Linked DNA regions of Cricetulus griseus. The protein of the gene in region 3 interacts with the protein of the main gene of each other region in a pairwise test. Links are inferred from orthologs where the notes say so. Each region holds a gene or a part of one and is shown on either strand. Other genes may lie near its edges.

Region 1 (7,151 bases), on a different chromosome or scaffold from region 3:
AGAGAGCTACCCAGCAATAGGGCTTAGGTAAATGAATGCATGGAGGGGAAAGCCACACAGCTGTTAAAATGATGATGTAGGCAAATGGCTATTGATTCAGAAAGATGTTCACAACATATTGTTGAAGGAAAAGCAAATTACAAAATAATTGGTGCAGTATGGGCCTGTTTTGAAAAAAACCATTTATATGTGTAGAAAAACCTGGCAGTGTTTATCTGCATGTGGCAAAACTATGGCTAATTAAATATTTAAATTGCTTATGTGTATTTTCTTTTCTTTTATTTTTAAAGATTTTATTTATTTATTATGTATACAACATTCTGCTTCCATGTACATCTGCACACCCGAAGAGAGCACCAGATCTCATAATGGATGGTTGTGAGCCACCATGTGGTTGCTGGTGCTGAACTCAGGACCTCTGGAAGAGCAGTCGGTGCTCTTAACCTCTGAGCCATCTCTCCAGCCCGCTTATGTGTATTTTCTGATTTCTCTACAGTGAGTGTATAATAAAACACCAATATGAAAGTTTGTAATCAAGTGTCTTTGTTTTGTCTCTACACACAAAGACCCTTTGAGAGAGTATAGCAAGGATCCAAAAGCCCAGTGGGGTTAGAGTGGAACTTGGTCCTACATCAGGGGTACAAGGAGGGGGTGAGGGGCAGAGACTGGAGGACTCCTTGGCTGGTACTGAAATAAACTCACATAAACAGGACGGACTCTCCAGTTTTTCTGTCAAACCTCTCCTGCTCTTGTCGTATCTTTTCCCTTCAGAACCACTTTGTTTGGACCTAGAAAGGCAGGCCACTCCTACCCTCTGAGATGTGTCCTGAGTTAAAGGCTGGTCTCTAGTAAGGCTCTTCCCTTAACATCCCCTGTTCTTTAGCGTTCCAGCTTATAAGAATATTAATAGTCACTGGGGGGCAGGAAGTGGTCATGCAAGCCTTTAATCACAAAGGGGCAATTGGATTGCTGTGAGTTCCAGACCAGCTTGATCTATATAGTGAGTTCCAGGGGACATGATGACATACTGCCTAAAGGTTGCTGGGAACTTCTCTCAAGATCTGCCTTACTATGCCGTTGTCCTCAATGGGGGAAGATATGGCTAGATCTTAAGGAGCTCCTTCCTTTCCCATGCTGGGACTCGCTAGGGGAACCTCAGCCTGTGCAAGTTCAAGTGAATGCCATGTCCCTGGTACCGAGTAAGGGATGCTGCTGTGTCAGGAGCTCAGGGGTCTGAATTGGCTTGAGCAGGGGGAGGGGGCAAGCAGCCAGGCGTTGTCTGTAAGCTGGCTGCCCCCAGGACCTCCTCTGTGTGCCCGCTGAATGACTCACCTTGGCAGAGACACAATGGTCAGGGTAGGCACACAGCCTGCTTCCCGTTGCACTCCAGGCCCCCTTCGATGCTTTCCGAGAAGTCCATTGATCTGGGAGCTTGTACAGCACCAGGGGCTGACATCCTGGCATCTTAGGATAAAAGCAGCCCAGCCCCCTTGGGGCTGCCCTTGCCGTATGGCTCCCTCACTGGCGGCAGAGAACAAGGCTCTATTCAGCAAGTGCCCTGGAGCAGGGATCAGAAGCTCAAGCATGGACAGAGGGAAGCAGGGGTGGGGGGAACTTAGCTGTCTGTTTTCCAGAAGCCCAAGGGCACAAATGGCTAAGGCGCCTGGGAGGGACCAGAGTGGAGGGGATGGATAGGCCTGAAGTCTCACGGCAACAGCCTCCTCCCCACCATTGATGATAGTGAATTCTGGCTTCCCAGACCTAGAGATTCCCCAGAGGCCTGATGTGTGGAAATTTGAAGAAGATAAATCTCCTGGGAGAATGAGGGGTGACCAGGAGGACAGGGTGTTACAAAAATGAAGATTCCAGCATGCACAACCAACTCATTCATAGCTACTCTGTAGAGCTGTCAGGGGCCAGGCTCGGGGAGGAGTAAAGGGAAGCTGGACCAGGAAGAAATGGCCCAGTAGGCTAGACACGATGCCAAAGAGGGGCTCAGGAAGGAGGTCTGCTATTGTACCCTATTAGGGTCCTCATGCATTCCTTCTGTCTTGCCCCTTAGACACACAGCTAGAGGCCCAGGCTGGCCCTGGAGTCATAGGGAGGGCCCCAAGCCCAGCCCTTCACTCCTGAACTCCAGGAATGAGAAGACAGGATGGCAGGGAGAGGACTCTGGACACCTGTTGGGAATGGGAGTCAGCAGGAAACTATCATATAGGCTGATCCTGGAGGCAGGGCATAGATTCTTCAAGTTCCTAGCATCTCACAGGCCCATGGAAAAGTGCAGAATGAGGGTAGCCCTGGCTTCTAGACGCTAAGAGCAGGGGGCAGCTCACCCAACCCAGCTCGTGCTCACCCTCTCTCTCTCTCTCTCTCTCTCTCTCTCTCTCTCTCTCTCTCTCGTGTGTGTGTGTGTGTGTGTGTGTGTGTGTGTGTGTGTGTGCGCGCGCGTGCGTGTTTGCTCACATGCTCGAGTGCACCTACACACAAATGCTTGTTCATTGCAAGATATTCCTGTGTGGGCCCATGTGCACTGAGGTTAAATGTCAGCATCAGGTATTGTTCCTCAGACACTGTTGCCTTGGTTTTCTTTGAGACATCGTTTCTCTCTGGGACCTGGAACTCACCCATTAATCAGTGAGACCCAAGGATCCTCCTGGTTTTCTTTCCCCAGCACTGGAGTTACAAGTACACATCGTCAGACCTGACCTTTTGTTTTCATTCTGTGACTAGAACTTGAGTCTTCATGCTTGACAGGCAAGCAATTTATGGGCTGTTTCCTCAGCCACTCTAGCCCTCTCTTGACCCATCTTACCAGAAAGGGGTTTTTCTTCATCACTGGTGAAGCCAAGCTGGTGTGCCCAGGGAAACCTTGACTCTAGTACAAAGACCTCAGTGGGGTGAGAGGAGCTCTCCCCGTAGCTGGGCTAGGGCCCAGCTCCACCCCCTCAGTCTATTCAGTGGGGTGCTGCCAGGAAGTCAGGGCAGAGCCAGTTCAGCCCATTCCTCCATAAAACTCTGACATCCCCAGAGCCAGCAGGGCCAGGGCAGGATGGAGCGAAGACGCATCACCTCTGCACGTCGCTCCTATGCCTCCTCCGAGACGGTGGTCAGGGGCCTGGGTCCCAGCCGCCACCTGGGTACCATCCCACGCTTCTCTTTGGCTCGAATGCCTCCTCCACTCCCTGCCAGGGTGGACTTCTCCCTGGCCGGGGCTCTCAATGCTGGCTTCAAGGAGACTCGGGCCAGTGAGCGCGCTGAGATGATGGAGCTCAACGACCGCTTTGCTAGCTACATCGAGAAGGTCCGCTTCCTGGAACAGCAAAACAAAGCACTGGCAGCTGAGCTGAACCAGCTTCGTGCCAAGGAGCCCACCAAACTGGCGGACGTCTACCAGGCAGAGCTGCGAGAGCTGCGGCTGCGGCTGGACCACCTTACTGCCAACAGTGCCCGGTTGGAGGTGGAGAGGGACAATCTGGCACAGGACCTGGGCACCCTGAGGCAGAAGTGAGGAGGGGGTCAGGGAAAATGGCTAGACAGAACCGAGAGGGATGCCTATAAGGAAGGGTACTGACTCTGGCAAGGGCTCGGCGTTTCAGCTGCTGCATTTCCCCATGCCTGGGAAAGGGAGAGCTATCTTTGCTCCCTAATATGATGGGAATAGGCAGGGAGAGGCCAGAACTTCAGCGATCTGATTCCCAAAGGTCTGCTGCCAGGGAGCCTGGCACGCGGGACATCTCCACACTGGGGAAGGCTGTGTGGGCAGCGAGGGCACCAGCCAGCAGGTGCTCTGCTTTTTCATTCATTTGGCACTGTGAATCTGACGAGTGAAGGCTTATGTCCACAAGGAGGCTCTGGTCTCTGAAATAGAGAGAATGAAAGAAAGGGCAGGCCTGGGTGCAGAACCCCGATGACTGTCTGTCACCAGTTTTTGTCATAGCTGTGAAGGAGAGGTCATGATACAATCTGTCCTAAAAGGTGGAACTCTGGGGCATGGTGCTTTGCTGAGTGGTGGACATTCGTGTGCCCATATAGTGCAGGAGGTGCACTGGTGTCTGTAAAGCGTGCACATGGTGGTGGATGCGCCTGTGCGAGCATGAGCAGGTGCACCAACCCCGATAAGGCACCTCAGTAATGAGTTAAGGCAGAAACTCTTATCTGCTGCTTACTCTCTCAGCCAGGGCCTCTGTTTAGGAAGCCTCTGCTCCTTACGTCTCCTGCCACTCTGTGGGTCCTGTGAGAGTGTTTTATGACAGTCAATTCCATAGAGGTTGGGACAGGGATCTAATAAGAGTTCTTAGGAAAGCATTAAGCCCATACTGTGTCCCATATCCCAGGCTCCAAGATGAAACCAATTTGAGGCTGGAGGCTGAGAACAACCTGGCTGCCTATAGACAGGTCAGAGAGATGGGAGGGATGGGCAGCTGGGGTGGGGGTGTGTGTGTTGGGGGTAGGGCTTGGGGGTGGGGTTAATGACTGCCCACCCAGACATAGGCCCTGAACTTAACCCTTCACTGCAGTTGCCTGCTTCCCAGACCCCCACAAGGAGGGAGAAGACAAAACTGGAGGTTGTAGTGGGGTGGGCTCTGGGGTCAAAAAAGGCCCTCTCCCCACTCCAGGAGGCAGATGAAGCTACCATGGCCCGTCTGGACCTGGAGAGGAAGATTGAGTCGCTGGAGGAGGAGATACAGTTCTTGAGGAAGGTCCATGAGGAGGTGAGGCCAGGTGGAACGAGGGAGGCCAAACAAGAATCTTCAAATGAAAGAGACAGACAGATGGACAGATAGATACTTAGAGAGGGAAACAGAGAAGCCAACTGTCAGGAAGAAAGAAAATGAAAGAGAAAGAGTGAAGACAGAGAGACCAAGGGAGGTGTTTTCCAGTGTCTCCTACCCCTGGAAAATGCACACAGGCCCTCCCCCACCACCATGTTTTGAGAAGCACAAGGCCAGGTCTTTAGTTTCTTCTCCACATCAGCTCTGTGAGCCCTTCTTGTGGTCTCCTTTCATAACAGGAAGGATGTTGAATCCTAGAGAAGTTAAAAACAAAACAAAACAAAACAACCACCCCAAAGTCACACAGCCTGTCTGGTTTCACCCTCTCCCCCACTTGTCACCAGGAAGATGGGAGACAGTCATGAAAACCCCTCTGAGGACATGCCATCTCAGCATTTGGGAGGTAGAGGTAGGAAGCTCAAAGTGTTTAAGGCCAATTTCAGCTACACAGAAGATTTGAGATCAGCCTGGTCTCCATGAGACCCTGTCTCAAATACACACACACACACACACCCCTCTGTTCTCTGACCTCAGAGCCAGGATGCAGGACATATTCATGCCTGGCTCCTGAACACACAGCCCTGGGAGGAAGACGCCCTCAGATTCTCATTCCATACCCATTAGGGTTTTTATTTCTACTTTTTAACAGGGTCTCACTGTGTAGCCTTGGCTTGCCTGGAACATTCTATGTAGAGCAGACTGGCTTCAAAATCATAGAGGACTGCCTGCTCCAGCCTCTCACATGCTAGGGTTAAAGGTTAAATGGCACATGCCCATTAGCTTAGGCTATGCACTTCCTCCAGTAAAGGCTGCCCCATTTCCCTGAGCCAGTGACATATCTGGGCAGGCAAAAGTGTGATGCTGGGAGAGCCCCAGCTGTAGCCTGGGCCTGAGATACCCCTTCTTTTACCCTATTAGGAAGTTCGAGAACTCCGGGAGCAGCTGGCCCAACAGCAGGTCCACGTGGAGATGGATGTGGCCAAGCCAGACCTCACAGCGGCCCTGAGAGAGATTCGAACTCAATACGAGGCAGTGGCCACCAGTAACATGCAAGAGACAGAGGAGTGGTATCGGTCCAAGGTACCCGTGGGCTAGCCTGCCTCTTCCAGGCAGCCCTTCCTGATCCACACTGGGGAATAGGGAAGGAGGCTTGGAAAATAACCTATCTAGGTGACCAGCTTGCTCAGAGAAGTGAGATGGCTTGCCCAGGACCACACAGGCATTACGACTTCCCAAACTACTCATTGTTATTGCTACTACTATTTTTAACCAGCAAGGTTAAAGGTTAACTAGTTTGCACAATGTCACACAGCTCCTAAGTGAACAAGGGATAAAGTTTCTAATCCTAACCCATCTCATTTGAGAGCCTGCCTTTTTGATGCCTCTGCCAGTCTGTGTCCTGTGTTCCTGAACGTCTACTGTGTGCCGGGTACTCCCCAAGATACAGAGAAACATTTATTTGGTCAAGGAGATATCAGAGTTTATACAGACTGGGAAACAGGGGCTTGTGCTAAACAGGCAGCTTAGAGACTCAAGAGAAGAGGGAAGGGCGTCTCAAGTAGAGAACAGGCGTTGTGAGGAGGCCTGAGACAGAAAAGCAGAGACTGGAGGTGTTGCTGGCCAGGGCACAGAGTCCAGTTTGAGCCGCAGAAGCCAGTGACAGCCTGAACATGTTGAAGGCCTGATAAATCCTTCGGTTACAGTTGCTGCACCTGGGAGAGACCTGAGGTCGACCCCACTTTTCTGATTTTCCAGAGACCGTGTCTATCCCCCATCCCAGGCAGCAACCTGGTTTGTGCACTGTGCCGATGGGAGGCTCCAGCCCTCCCTTCGACTTCAGTTCCTCTTTCGATTTAGTTTGCAGACCTCACAGATGCTGCTTCCCGCAACGCAGAGCTGCTCCGCCAGGCTAAGCACGAGGCTAATGACTATCGCCGCCAACTGCAGGCCTTGACCTGCGACCTGGAGTCCTTGCGCGGCACGGTGAGCACAGGCAGGGACCACTGGTCGGATGGGGGCAGCCGTCACCCAAGATGTTGCTGGAAGGGGACCGGGCGGGGGGGGGTTGGGAGGGTTGAGGGTAGATGAAGAGTGGTAAAGGGAGGAAGGAATCTGAAAAGTTGGAGGTGGGTAGGGGGCTGAGGCTGAGGGTGGGGCCTCAAAGCCCCTTGGAATCACCGGACCAAGTGATCAGTCGGTTCCATCCGGCAGAATGAGTCCCTAGAGAGGCAAATGCGTGAACAGGACGAGCGCCACGCGCGGGAGTCGGCAAGTTACCAGGAGGCGCTCGCCCGGCTGGAGGAGGAGGGCCAAAGCCTCAAAGAGGAGATGGCTCGCCACCTGCAGGAATACCAGGATCTACTCAACGTCAAGCTA
Region 2 (6,494 bases), on a different chromosome or scaffold from region 3:
GCAAGCGAGTGGAAGCGATGAAGCAGGTTTGACTCTTCTTGCTGGCTTCACCGACATTTGAGTAAACTTAAGTCATGAATGTCTTAGTCAGTGTTCCATCGCTGTGAAGAGACACCCTGACCACGGCAGCTCTTATAAAAGAAAGCATTTAGTTGGGGCTGGCTTACAGTTTTCATCACGGCTGAGAGCATGTCAACACAGAGCTAGAGAAGTAACTGAGAGTTCTACATTCAGATCCACTGGCAACAGGAAGAAAGAGGCTTTGGGCTGGGAATGAAACCGCAAAGCCCACGCCCAGTGACACATTTCCCCCAATAAAGCCACACCTCCTAATCCTCTCAAATAATGTCACTTCCTGGTGACCAAGTGTTCAAATCTGTGAGCATCCCAACAGCCAGAACACGATATTTGTAAATGCCTTTCTCTAAATAATGGACAATCTTAGGGGAAGCTTAAGAAGGGCATCTGATGATGTGGAGCGGATGGGAGCCATTCTCATTCAAACCACAGTAAACAATCAGATAATTTCTAATTGCAGTCTTCACATAGCATCACTTGTGTGTTTGCTTCACTGTGGACTAGGGTATATTAATCGTGTTCACTAACAAGTACATAGGTTTATTTTAAAATCTATGAATTTCATCCCTCTTCTGACAGAATTGCATATTTGAGTTAAATAAGTGAAACTGTTAAATCTAAATACATTTGATAAGGATCAGACAACACGTTTCACTAGTACTGGCACACATTAGATATTTGCTGTATTATATAATGTTGAGATGTTTATACTTTCCTTTATAAAAGTACTTGGGTGTTACTTTGTTTTTTGTTTGTTTGTTTGGTTGGTTTTGGTTTTTTGAGACAGTTTCTTTGTAGCTTTGGAGGCTGTCCTGGAACTCTCTGTAGACCAAGCTGGCCTTGAACTCACAGAGATCCGCCTGCCTCTGCTTCTTGAGTGCTGTTCAAAGGCGTGCACCACCAACGCCCAGCAACCAAATAAGTTTTTTTAAATGATGTAAAGAAGTATCTAATTTTCATCCTGTGCGGTTATTTCAAGTTCTTTTTTTTGCTAGCATGTTTTAAATTTGTCATTTACAATAGGAATTAAGTAGGTTTTACTTCTTGCTACTGGCATGTAGAGGAAACTCCCAGTAGATGATTGAGTTCAGCTACTGTATAAGCTGTCCCCCCAGAAAGACTTCCAACTCTTAAGGAAGCAGCCCTAGGCAGGCAGTGGTGGCAGACAACTTTATTCCCAGCACTTGGGAGGCAGACACAAGTCCGAGTTCAAGGCCAACATAGGCTACACAGAGAAACCCTGTCTCAAGAGGGTAGGGGGAGAACCTGAACTAAGGCTCCTTAAAAGTTACCAGAAATACTGGAGCAAGTCCACTTACTCTGTTTTATACCTGCATCTCCCTAAAGTGGTCTGCTCCTTGACCATCCGTCCAGATGACAGTAAGCATAAACCTGGTAGTGATGTGTTTTACAATCGGACTTTGACACCTGCAGTTAAGAACCAGGAGTGTTACTGTAAATATATTCCCAGCTATCCAGTAAGAATGCCTCCAGAAAAAAGAATAATTCTAAAATTAAGATTCCTGCTTTTTTTAAAAAAAATTCAAAATCCAGCCAGCTGTTGTGGTGCACACCTTTAATCCCAGCACTTGGTAGGCAGAAGTAGGTGGATCTCTGTGAGTTTGAGGCCAGCCTGGTCTACATATTGAGTTACAGAACAGCCAGAGCTACATAATAGACTTTATCTCAAACCTACCCCCACCGCCCCTTGCAGTGCTAGGGATGGAACCTGGGGCCTTGCTCATGCTAAGCAAATTCTATGCCGGTCAGGTCAGTGTGTTTCTGGCTTCCCACCCTCTCTACTCCCACTGACCTCTCTCCCAGTGGATTTGCCTGTTCGAGACCTGTAGACACTTTGTGTGCGTAGGACATGAGCTGTGTGGCTTTTGTGATTGGCCTATTGACATGTTTTAAATTTCATCTGGTTTCTCGTATGTGTCAGTCTTTAGGGGATACAGCATGTCTTGTTTCTTCTCTCTTGGGTCAGGGTGTGGGTACTCTAATTCCTCTTTTTTTCCTATTATGAGTATTGGTACTACGGATGTTTTCTTTTCCCTAAGGAAGGAATGTTGGGTCATGTAATGCCTCTGTTTCACTCTTAAAGGGTCTGTTCATTTATATCCATATAGCAGGTAAAAATTTGCAAATATTGACTTCCTATGTGTTCTTTTTTTTTTTTTTTTTAATCTTCTCATTAGTATCAGGAAGAAATCCAAGAACTCAATGAAGTGGCAAGACACCGGCCGAGGTCCACGCTAGTTATGGGAATCCAGCAAGAAAACAGACAGATCAGAGAATTGCAACAGGAGAACAAAGGCAAGATAGATTGTCGTGAAAAAGACCTTTAGTCTTCCATTGTGGTACTAGTTTGGGACTAATAAGTATATTCACAAATCGGAGAGGGGCTGGAGAGATGGCTCAGTGGTTAAGAGCACTGTTGCAGAGGATCCAGGTTCAGTACCCAGCACCCACGTCAGGCAGTCCTGGCTGCCCATCATTCCTTCTCCAGAGGATCTGACACCCCCTTCTGGGGCGCAGGCATGTATGTGGTGCACAGACAATGTAGGTACTCACACATGCACGTGAAATCAAATAGAATCCTCTTTTAAGTGGGGAAATAGTGAGCTGAAGTCCTCCTTTCTATTTAATCTCCTTCTTTGGTCTGTGTGACGAGGAGGCGCTCTCTCTGTGCTCTGCCCTGCTTATCCTCTTCTCAGCTGCTTCTCACATCTGGTTTACACCATTTTGTTACCTGTGAAGAACTGAACTCCACTCCCTGCCGTGTCCCAGTGTGGCTGCTCATATGCTCTGCTGTACCTGGAGACTTTCACTGTCAGCTTTCTCTCCATCCTTCAACACAAGCCCAAGTCCAAACTCCCCAGAATAAATGTGGCCATGATGCCCTTGCTTAAAATCTTCTGTTTTGATTTTATTTCCTTGTCAGTTGCTGGTCTCTCTTCTGCCCACTTCACACAGCTCTCCTCCACACTGTTTGTTTTGCCTTTCTACCTCAGTCTCCTAACATAGCCTTCACTTTCATGCTCCTTGCTGAAGATTCTCGTTCCTTTAGCTAGCGTTCACCATAAGAGCTCAAGTTCATTGCAGTGTGATAATTCTGTGGAACTTTCCCCAGTCCAGCCTCATAGCTCTGAAATGATTTTTAAGAAACAGTTTTAAATGAACACTTTAAAAAGCTAATGAGAGATGTCTCCAAGGATTAAGGGCACTTGCCACCAAGCCTGTCAGCCTGTGTTCCATCCTTGGAACCCGATGGAACCCCTGGAGGAAGACAAAAGTCAATTGCAAATTGTCCTCTGACCTCTGCATGTGCCATGGCGTGTGTGTGTACACACAACACACACATACACACACATACCCACACACATATACACACATGCACACACACACAGCATAAACCTTTATTTCAATAAAAAGTGGTGAGGGGCTTCTTTGCTGCACGGTCTCTTTTAAGATGTCATGTATGTCAGTGTTTTGGTAAATATGATTTGGGAGAGTATAATCTTAGCTCATTTCAATAAAGCACATTGTTCTCGATAGAACTGCGAACATCCTTGGAAGAGCACCAGTCTGCCTTGGAACTGATAATGAGCAAGTACCGAGAGCAGATGTTCAGATTGCTAATGGCCAGCAAAAAAGACGACCCAGGTATAATAATGAAGTTAAAAGAGCAACACTCAAAGGTAATCAATCCAGTCTACGAATTTGACTTGAAATGAAAATTGGGGCCATTGGTTAATCGATGTTTAGAGTTTAAACAATGAAAAAAAAATCTAAAATTGGTGTGATATGATATATAATTACATCCCCTTCTCCCCCCCCCCTTTTTTTTTTTGACAGGGTTTCCCTGTGTAGCCCTGGCTGCTGTCCTGGAACTCAACTCTGTAGACCAGGCTAGCCTTGAACTCTTGATCTTTCTGCCTCTGCCTCCTGAGTGCTGGAACTAAAGGCATGTGTCACCATAGCCAGAAATACCTCACATTTTTAATTGACATTTTCTTTCATCGTCACCACCCTGCCCCCTATTTCTTGTTACATATTGTATTCTCCTTGGCTTATTCTTGTAACTCACATTACTCCTTATTAACAGGGTCTCACTGTGTAGCTCTGGCTATCCAGGAACTCACTGTGTAGACCAGGCTAGCCTCAAATTCAGAGATCCATCTGTGTCTGCCTCCCTATTGGTGTCCTTAGTAACTTTAAAATGGTGTGTCTGTGTGTGTGGTGTCTGTATATGTGCAGTAATAAACTATTGTAAAAATAAAGGTGTGTTTAGTTTAAAATTACTCTGTGAGATTCTCTGCTTTTAAGTAGAATTTTCCAGTGAATCTGTAGTGCTACCTGTAACACAAGCAGAAAATGGAAACTTTAAAAGTCTGTGCACTGCTGAGTGCCGATTGTTTCCCTGAAGAGTCCAGTCTTCATGAGAAGCCATGGGGTTGGGGATCCTTCATGTAGATGACATCATTTGAGAAGCAAAGCCGAAGTAGTTAGAGCACTTTTGCAGTTGCTTGAATTGCGGCCATTTGGGGGCAGTTGTCAAGACAAGCAAAATAGTTGTTGCTGTTTACATTAAACTGAATTTTAACTGCCAGTGGAAAATGAAAATATTAAACTAGATTGGATGACTGGCTTTGGATAATGGTGAAATAAACTACTTACAACTAATACTATTTAAGAAATAGTGGTAGTTATAAGATACATATATTTCTCAGTTATATTTTGGAATCTTTAAAATATTTCTTCCACATTGGCGTTTATATCTAATTATCCTGTCAGAATTAGATAACTAGTAGTATTCTTTGGGTGACAGTTATACATATTACGGACTGTAATAGCAACCTCATGTTGATTACTAAGAGAATAAAGGAGTAAAGTTGGGTTTAGTGTTACCTATTTATAATAATCATGCCCTAACAAAATGGAAACCCTTGGGTATTTAACTGGTCTTTTGAACATAAAGTCTATGGTTAATGTTAGTATTGGTTACAGAGTAGCTACTTCAGTGTATATCAAGCCATGTACAGTGACACATACCTCTTTAATCCCAATACCTGAGAGGTAAAGGGAGGAAGGTCGGGGTTCTAGGCCAGCCTGGTGACATGAAATTCTGTTTTAATTCTACCTTCCCTCTCCTAAAAATAAGTAAATGTGTAACTAAGAGAGTTTTTTTTTTTTAAGTATAAGAATTGAAATTCCAGAAGGCCCTCTTGTTTTACAATTTGAAAAACCAAATTTTTGAAGTTTTGAAAGAGTGAATACCACCACCACCACCCCAAAAAAGTGCGTAGAGTAAAATCTTGTTAGTCCCATATAGTAGTAACTGTGGCAGAGCGAATGTTTTCTAAAGCACATGAGGAGGTGGAGGCAGAGCTCCATGGTAGAGCATGTGCTGAGCATACCTGCAGCCCTGGGTTCAACCCCATAAACAAACCTATTGGGTGTCCAGTCATCAGTGCTGTCCTGTTAAAAGTTTAAACACTTCCTAAATAGCCATAAACCTTCCGTTAACATTTGTTGTGTAGATTGAGATGATCCAAGTGCTGATCCTTGCCTTCCATAAAGTGACTGTTCAGTTATTTGCTATTAATTCTAACTAATACATGTTAATGTTTGTGGTTTTGATTTTTCCCAAAAAGGAGACACTTTGACTAAGTAAATCAAACATTTATTAGTTATTGGATTAGTTGCTAGAGGCAAGAGCAAGGTTAATGAAGGAATACATCACATCACTGTTAAGTCTGCCATGTAATGGGAAGTACAAAAACAAGCATAACTAGAACATAAGGTAGAGTGAGGTAAAAATGAGTCATTACTATAGAAGTAGGAAGAGCAGTATTGGTTTCCATAAGCAGAGTCTGAAAGAAGGCAGATTATTTAATCTAGCCTTGAATCAACTACAGGAGTGGGGTATGCAAAACAGAGAAATGAGATAAAGGCACAGAAGTGCAGGACTAGACTTGGTTAGGCTCCAGTGATCTGATATGCCTAGACATAGAAATACCTCTGCCACTCTTTGGGGGACACAGTTCCATGTGGCTGCACTTTGCAGCATGTGTCCTGCTTGAGGACATAGTGATACAGAATTTTTCACTTATCTAGAGCCTTATGAGTCCATATTTAAAAATCACTAGAAAATTTAACTCAGTTTCATCCAAATACTTATTTTTACATCATTATTTTAACAGACGCCTTTTTGGAAATCTTAAAAAAACAAACATTCCAACGGTTGGCTAACACGCATGAACTAACACTCATTCGGTGTTTAAGTTACGGAAGAATTCCGTATTAACATTATAATGGCTCTGTGCTACAGATTGACATGGTGCATCGTAGCAGCCGCGAAGGAGTCTTCCTTGATGCATCTCGGCGCATTCTTGAAGCACCTCAGCATGGAC
Region 3 (6,494 bases):
GAGTCAAAAGAAAATGATAGTATTCACCTAATTTTTTTGAAGATTTATTTATTTATTATGTGTTCTGCCAGCGTGTATGCCTGCACACCAGAAGAGAGCACCAGATCTCATTACAGATGGTTGTGAGCCACCATGTGGTTGCTGGGAATTGAAATCAGGACCTCTGGAAGAGCAAGTGCTCTTAACCTCAGAGCCATCTCTCCAGCCCGCATCCACCTAAATTTTGTCCAATCTTTTGTGGTTTCAATTTTTCCATTTAATTTGAAGTCCACGGTGAAGTAAAAATGTGAAAAATTTCCCTGTGTTTCAATACCACAAAGTTACCTAGACGAGCACTCTCCTGAAGACAGGGGTCTGAGCCCCTCTGTCTTTGACTGCATTGGAAGACTAATGGGATTGAGAACATGGATGCATTGGTCTAGCCTAGAGCCACACAGCCCCACCACTGGGCACCATCTTACAGGGATGGCCACGGCACTGATGTGTTTGTGTGAGACCAGACTAACTTTGGGCCGGTGTCACTGCTGTTGCGTGTCCTCAATGGGCACAGCTCCAGTTGATACGACAGTGTTTTCTGTTGCAGGCTGCATGGCCACTGTAGTGACCCTTCTCTGGATGACCCCATCCCCCAGGAGTATGCGCTCTTCCTCTGCCCCACGGGGCCCTTGCTGGAAAAACTCCAAGAGTTCTGGAGGGAGAGCAAGCGCCAGTGTGCGAAGAACAGAGCTCACGAGGTCTTCCCTCATGTGACACTCTGCGACTTTTTCACGGTGAGTCCACTCCAGAGGCCTTAGATGCTCACCACTGCAACTGATGCCAGTTGTCAACTGACTTATTTTAACCAAGACATTAGCATAAAGGTGGCTCCTTGATGGGAATCTTTTCCTTCCTCTAGCCTTCAGGACCCAATTCATTTAGAGCCTTCAGCTCCCCAGGCAGAAGGAGGTACAACCCCAGGCTCCCGTCAGTATCTCTAGGAGCACATTTGGGTGCTATGAAAGTCACATGTCCCTATAGGAAGACAGATGCTGCCCTGGTCCTTATCTACCCAGAAACTAGCAAAGTCCTGAACAGAGCAAGAGCCTCCTGTGTGATGAGAATCCTGAAGAGTGCTGGTTTGGGCTGGGCATGACCAGGGTCTTTCCTATGCCAGGGCCTGGCCCTCTGAGAAAAACAAAAACCATTGGTGAAGTCAGCAGAGGCACAGTTGGTGGACAAAGAGAAAGCCTGAGCACAAGGAGGCCCCTGAGCCATTTCCTCTATACCTGTACCTGATGAGTTAGAGAAGGGCCCATCTATTCTCAGGACAGCAGGCAGAGCCTTCTCCTGCCACTCCACACTGCTAGAGGAGTATAAAGCACAGTGGTCGATAAAGAAGCTTCTAGAAGCTGTCCCCTGGAAAAACAACACCTCCCAAGCATCCATGACGCACCTCTGTGTGCCTGAGACTAAGAGGTCTCTGGGGACAGAACTAAACTGTTGCTTCCTGGAGGTCTGAGCTGGGATCCCATGGGACCCCATGAGATTCCTCAGAGTTGACTGGCGACTCCCAGAGGCTAACCCATGAAAACTGAGACAAGCAAGGGGCACAGAAGGAAAGAAGACTGCCTGGGGAGGTGACAGGGAGACAGTGACAGGGGAGTTCCAATCTAGGCACGTAAGGGGGATTATATTACAGAAAGACCCTTACCCGAGATGCCTCAAATAACTGAAGAGAAAATATGGGGGTAAACCTTTATAACTGCAGGGGCTGCGTAAGGAGTATCCCGTGCCTTGGATACAGAGCAGCCCATAGTGGTTAAGCCTTGATTTTCAACAGGTGGACACTCATTCTCTGTTCGTCTTCCCTTAGTGTGAAGACCAGAAGGTGGAGTGTTTGTATGAGGCTCTGAGGCGTGCAGGGGACAGGATCCTGAACTCCTTCCCTACCCTGGTGCCTCTTGTCCTCCATTCTTCCATCAGCTACCTCGGCTTCTTCATCAACGACAGCCCCGCAGACGTCATCAGGGAGTTCGCCACAGCGTTCGCCACGGAGGCATCAGTCTTAGCAGGTGGGGATCTCAGCTGTGGGCAGATACACTTTTCCCTTTGTGTCCCAGCAGAGCCACACCTAAGGCCCTAACAGACTAGCTCCTGTCCGTGATGATGGCTCTTTAATGACCATCCTCCGAGGAATAGTTTGGTTCTTGTCTGGAAGCAGCACACCAGACACTGCCCTCGGACAGACACCCGTCTCTATGCTCCCAGATAGGTCTTAGAGGCCTCACCTTAAAAGGGGTAAGGAAGTTCCAGGGGTGTACCTCAGTTGGTAAGAGTGCTTGCCAGGGTGAGGGGTTTGATCCTCAGTGCTACATATCTCAGACATGAGGTCCACATACCTGTAATCCAGAAAGGGGAGGCAGAGAAAGTGTGAATCATACCTTTATTACATGAGACCCTGTCCCCCCAAAAAAAGAAAGAGAGAAAGAGAGGGAGAGAGAAAGGAAGGGAGGGAGAGAAAGAAAGAGAGGGAAGAAGGGAGAGAGAGCGAGAGAGAGAGAGAGAGAAAGAGAGAGAGAGAGAGAAAGAGAGAGAGAAAGAGATGAGGAAACTAGACTGTCTGGCATCACTGTATTGGGTTATACATGGTCCCCTCCCTCCAGGAACCTCAGAATGGGACCTTATTCAACAGTGGGCTCTTTAACATTACAATTAGTTAAGATGAGGTCACACTAGAATAAAGTGATCCTAAATCAATAGCTGGTTCCCTCTAAAGGACACATGGAGATAACAAGGAGGCCACTTGACCACAGAGGCAGAGATGGGCAGGATACAGCCATAGCCCAGGGATGCCTGGGGCCACTAGAAGCTGGATGACACCAAAGGACACACCCCAGAGCCTTCAGGAGGAATGTAGCCCTGCCCACACCTGGATTTTGAACTTCTGGCCTCTAAATTCCTAAGACGATAAACTCCTGTTGCTTTATGCAGCCCAGTTTTGATATCCTGTTGCAGCAGGAAGTGAGTGCCATACTCACCCATCTTGGAGGCCTGGAAATGAGCATTCTGCCTCACTGAACACTACCAGGGCTCTGTGTTGTTAGGCCTCACTTCCTGGTAGAGCTGGCCCTGAGTTCTTATCCATCTCCTGACCCTGAGCAGGCTCTTCTTGCCCTCTGGGGCTATGCCTCAGTCTGACCTGAGAGGCTAGCAGCAGTCCTTCCTCTCAGGAGTGTCTGGAGTCCCTCCCTGCCCACACCAGCCCTCTGGGTGAAACTGAACCCAGGTACACAGGGCAACAACAGAGGAAAAACAAAAGCCTATTCAGAAGTCAGCATGACTCACCCCTGTCTCTGGGGAAGCCAGACCAGGTCTTTTCCAGGCTGTGCTGACTCACAAGGGAACCCAACCTCCCCGACTGCTAAAAAGAGTCACAAAAGGAAATTCCCATCACCTACACACACCTTCATGCCACCTGTGCTGACTGCCTTCACAGAAGCCTGGCCAGGGTCTAGCTGGTGCTAAAGGTCCCCTGTGTGGAGAATGCTGTGGTGAACCTAATGTCATGGCGCCTGCACCTTCCAGAACTTTCACTAGGGGAATAGCAAGTCCTGTTTGCTTCCTGCCCTGCATGGAGACGTGGCAGGCAGTTTTGGGGCACTGAAAGTTCTCCGAGGACTCCAGAGTCCTGGAGCCAGCTATCTTTGTCCTCAAGTCCCAGCTGTCATAAAGGAAGCTAAGTCAGAGCATGACTCTCAGTCAAGGCCCCTGTGGTGACAAGGACAAAAGAGCCTTGTAGTCAGGTCCCTCTACAGCAAAGTCTGCCATTCCTGTGAAGACACGGAACTGCCTCCTCGGAGTCTGAGAGATTTTACCACCCAGCTGTCACCACAGCTGGTTGTTCCTGCATGCCAGTGTCTCTTGTTTATCTGAAAGACTCAAAGGCCAACCAGGAGCCAAGGGCTTCTCAAGGTCAGAGGCTGTCACAAAGCACCGGGCCTCAGCACTACCAGGGCTTCCAATGAGGAAAGTCAAATGCACGTCAGACAAGCTTCAGGTTTTACAGCTCACTGCTCAAGAAATGTTCCTCCTGTGACCCCTCTTTAAGCAAAAGGCTTTGGTCTGGGGTGGGGATGTAGCTCAGTGGGTAGAGTGTTTGCCTAGCAACCATGAAGCCCTAGGTTCAGTCCCTAGAAACACATAACCAGGTATGGGAGTGCGCACTTTTGATCCTCGTACTCAGGAGATAGAGGCAGGAGGATTAGAAGTTCAAGGTCATCCTCAGTTGCATAACAAGTTCAAAGCAGTCTAGGACTCATGAGATTCTGTCTCTAACCAAAACCAAAGCAAACCTAGACCTAGAGTCTAGGCCCTGCCATGTGTGCACCAGAGAATGAAGGGGCCATTTGCTGCTTTTCTAACATTCAAACTAGCTGCAGACTAAGGGCTCTCAAGATTTTGAGCCACATCTCTGTGCCTACCTTTTGTTTTTCTTCAGAAACTCTGCAAGCATCCAACCACATCCTTTCTAAGAGGGAGAGCCCAGTCCTTGCCTTGTCAAGAAAGCACCAACAATAAGGAGCAGGCATAATTAGAAAGGATGTCTGCCTGTTCCAGGCAGACAGGGCTGACATTCAGGGACAGGTTCTCACCTGACATTCAGAATGGGTACCCAACACCCTATGTTCACTGGACATTCAGCATCCGGCATTTCCTTAACTCCACAGACTGTACCGTCAAGCCCTGCACTAAGCAACTGCACCTGACCTTGGCCCATAAGTTCTACCCTCACCATCAAAGGACCCTGGAGCAGCTGGCCAGAGCCATCCAGCCCAGCCACACCTGCCAGTGGACGGCTGCCCTGTACTCCCGGGACATGCGGTTTGTGCACTACCAGGTAAGAGTAGTGGCCCAGCCTGCCTTGCTGGTAGGAGGTTCACTTCTACAATCCTCCCTGAAGAGAAGAGGGGGCTCCCTTCTGCTAGATCTCTCTCCTCATGTGCAGTTAAGAAGTTATATTCCTTTATAGACGAGTTGGGCATGCACAGTCATTTCAAAAGACAGTGAAAGCTCTCCCACGGTATTAGAAAAGCCCATTGTCAAGATGTGTTAATAAATGGTTTGCTTGTTAAATCACCTTATGTAATGATTTTGATGGGCTTCGTTTCAAGGTTCCTTTTCCTAAGAGCTAATTAGTTGAGGAAGAAAGTATGTTGCACAGAGAATAAGTATGAGAGAACCACCAATTCCCTGCCATAAGAGAAGTTATGAATAGCTTCACACCAAGGAAGGTGGTTATACACATTTGGTCACACTGTAAGGTCTTTCCCATAAGAGAAACAGATATATGGATAAATGATGGATAAGTGGATAGGTGGGTGGGTGAGTAGGTGAATAAGTGGATGGATGGATGGATGGATGGATGGATGGATAGGTGAATAGATGGATGGATGGATGGGTGGGTGGATGGATAAATGGGTGAAAGAATGCAATGGTGGATAGATAGATGTCTGAATGGATGGATATATAGATGTATGGATGAGGGAAGGAATGGGTGAATGAATGAATGAATGAATGGGTTGATAGATGGATAGGCAGGTAGATGAATGAGTAGATAAACAGACAGCTGGCCAACTGAATAGATGCATAAATGGGAAAATGAATGGGTAGATTGATGGACAGACAGATGAATGAAAAGGGATGGATGGATGGATGGATGGATGGGTGGGTGGGTGTATGACTGGATAGAAAGATGAATGCATGAGTGGATGGGTGGTAGGTGGGCAAAAGGATGAGCAAACATGTTGGTGGGCTGATAAATGAATGGACAAGTGGTTGGTGGATTAGTAGGTAGACTGGTGGAAGACAAACAGTAAACTTTATTGATATTTGACACTGGCTCACAGTGGTTCACATTGACTCCACACTGCATACCACTAGGTAAAGGCACAATGGGGCCTTGGAGGCATAAGACACATTGGAGGAGCCAGAAGGCTAGACATAAGGTTTCTGGCTTCCTGATGCTATTGCTTCCCAGACAAACCCTCACTAAGACGTGGCTCTACTTCCTAGACTCTGAAGGCGCTGTTCCAGTACAAACCCCAGAATGCAGATGAGCTAATGCTCAGTCGAGGCGACTACATCTTCGTGGACCCCACACAGCAGGAGGAAGCTAGTGAGGGCTGGGCCATTGGGATCTCACATCGGACTGGCTGCCGGGGCTTCCTGCCAGAGAACTACACAGAGCGAGCCAATGAGGCTGACACCTGGGTTAAGCACAGGTGAGAACTGTCCTTTCTCTGTCAGTTGTCATCTGAAACAGTGGCACAGTGGTGATGGGCTTCTAGATGGTTCTGTCCTTATAAAAAACAGTCCCGAGCAGGGCAGTGGTGGCGCATGCCTTTAATGCCAGCACTCAGGAGTCAGAGGCAGGCAGATCTCTGTGAGTTTGAGGCCAGCCTGGTCTACAAAGCTACAAAGAGAAACCCTGTCTCAAAAAAATAAAAAAGAAAGAA

Evidence for each region.
Region 1: the proteins of Ubash3a (region 3) and Gfap interact in binary tests that used the Homo sapiens proteins (3 or more experiments, as listed by UniProt). The link is inferred for Cricetulus griseus from reciprocal best matches to the Homo sapiens genes UBASH3A and GFAP.
Region 2: the proteins of Ubash3a (region 3) and Fgfr1op2 interact in binary tests that used the Homo sapiens proteins (3 or more experiments, as listed by UniProt). The link is inferred for Cricetulus griseus from reciprocal best matches to the Homo sapiens genes UBASH3A and FGFR1OP2.

The regions. Positions count from the first base shown.
Region 1 is NC_048600.1:115,222,184-115,229,334, forward strand, and holds the start of Gfap (glial fibrillary acidic protein), read left to right. Parts: upstream 1-3,052; coding exon 3,053-3,507; intron 3,508-4,337; coding exon 4,338-4,398; intron 4,399-4,619; coding exon 4,620-4,715; intron 4,716-5,693; coding exon 5,694-5,855; intron 5,856-6,217; exon of another isoform or gene 6,218-6,632; coding exon 6,633-6,758; exon of another isoform or gene 6,759-6,986; coding exon 6,987-7,151.
Region 2 is NC_048601.1:3,101,275-3,107,768, reverse strand, and holds part of Fgfr1op2 (FGFR1 oncogene partner 2), read left to right. Parts: coding exon 1-26; intron 27-2,276; coding exon 2,277-2,394; intron 2,395-3,636; coding exon 3,637-3,779; intron 3,780-6,412; coding exon 6,413-6,494. UniProt on the Homo sapiens protein: May be involved in wound healing pathway.
Region 3 is NW_023276806.1:259,579,733-259,586,226, forward strand, and holds part of Ubash3a (ubiquitin-associated and SH3 domain-containing protein A), read left to right. Parts: intron 1-583; coding exon 584-770; intron 771-1,852; coding exon 1,853-2,051; intron 2,052-4,706; coding exon 4,707-4,876; intron 4,877-6,051; coding exon 6,052-6,260; intron 6,261-6,494. UniProt on the Homo sapiens protein: Interferes with CBL-mediated down-regulation and degradation of receptor-type tyrosine kinases. Promotes accumulation of activated target receptors, such as T-cell receptors, EGFR and PDGFRB, on the cell surface.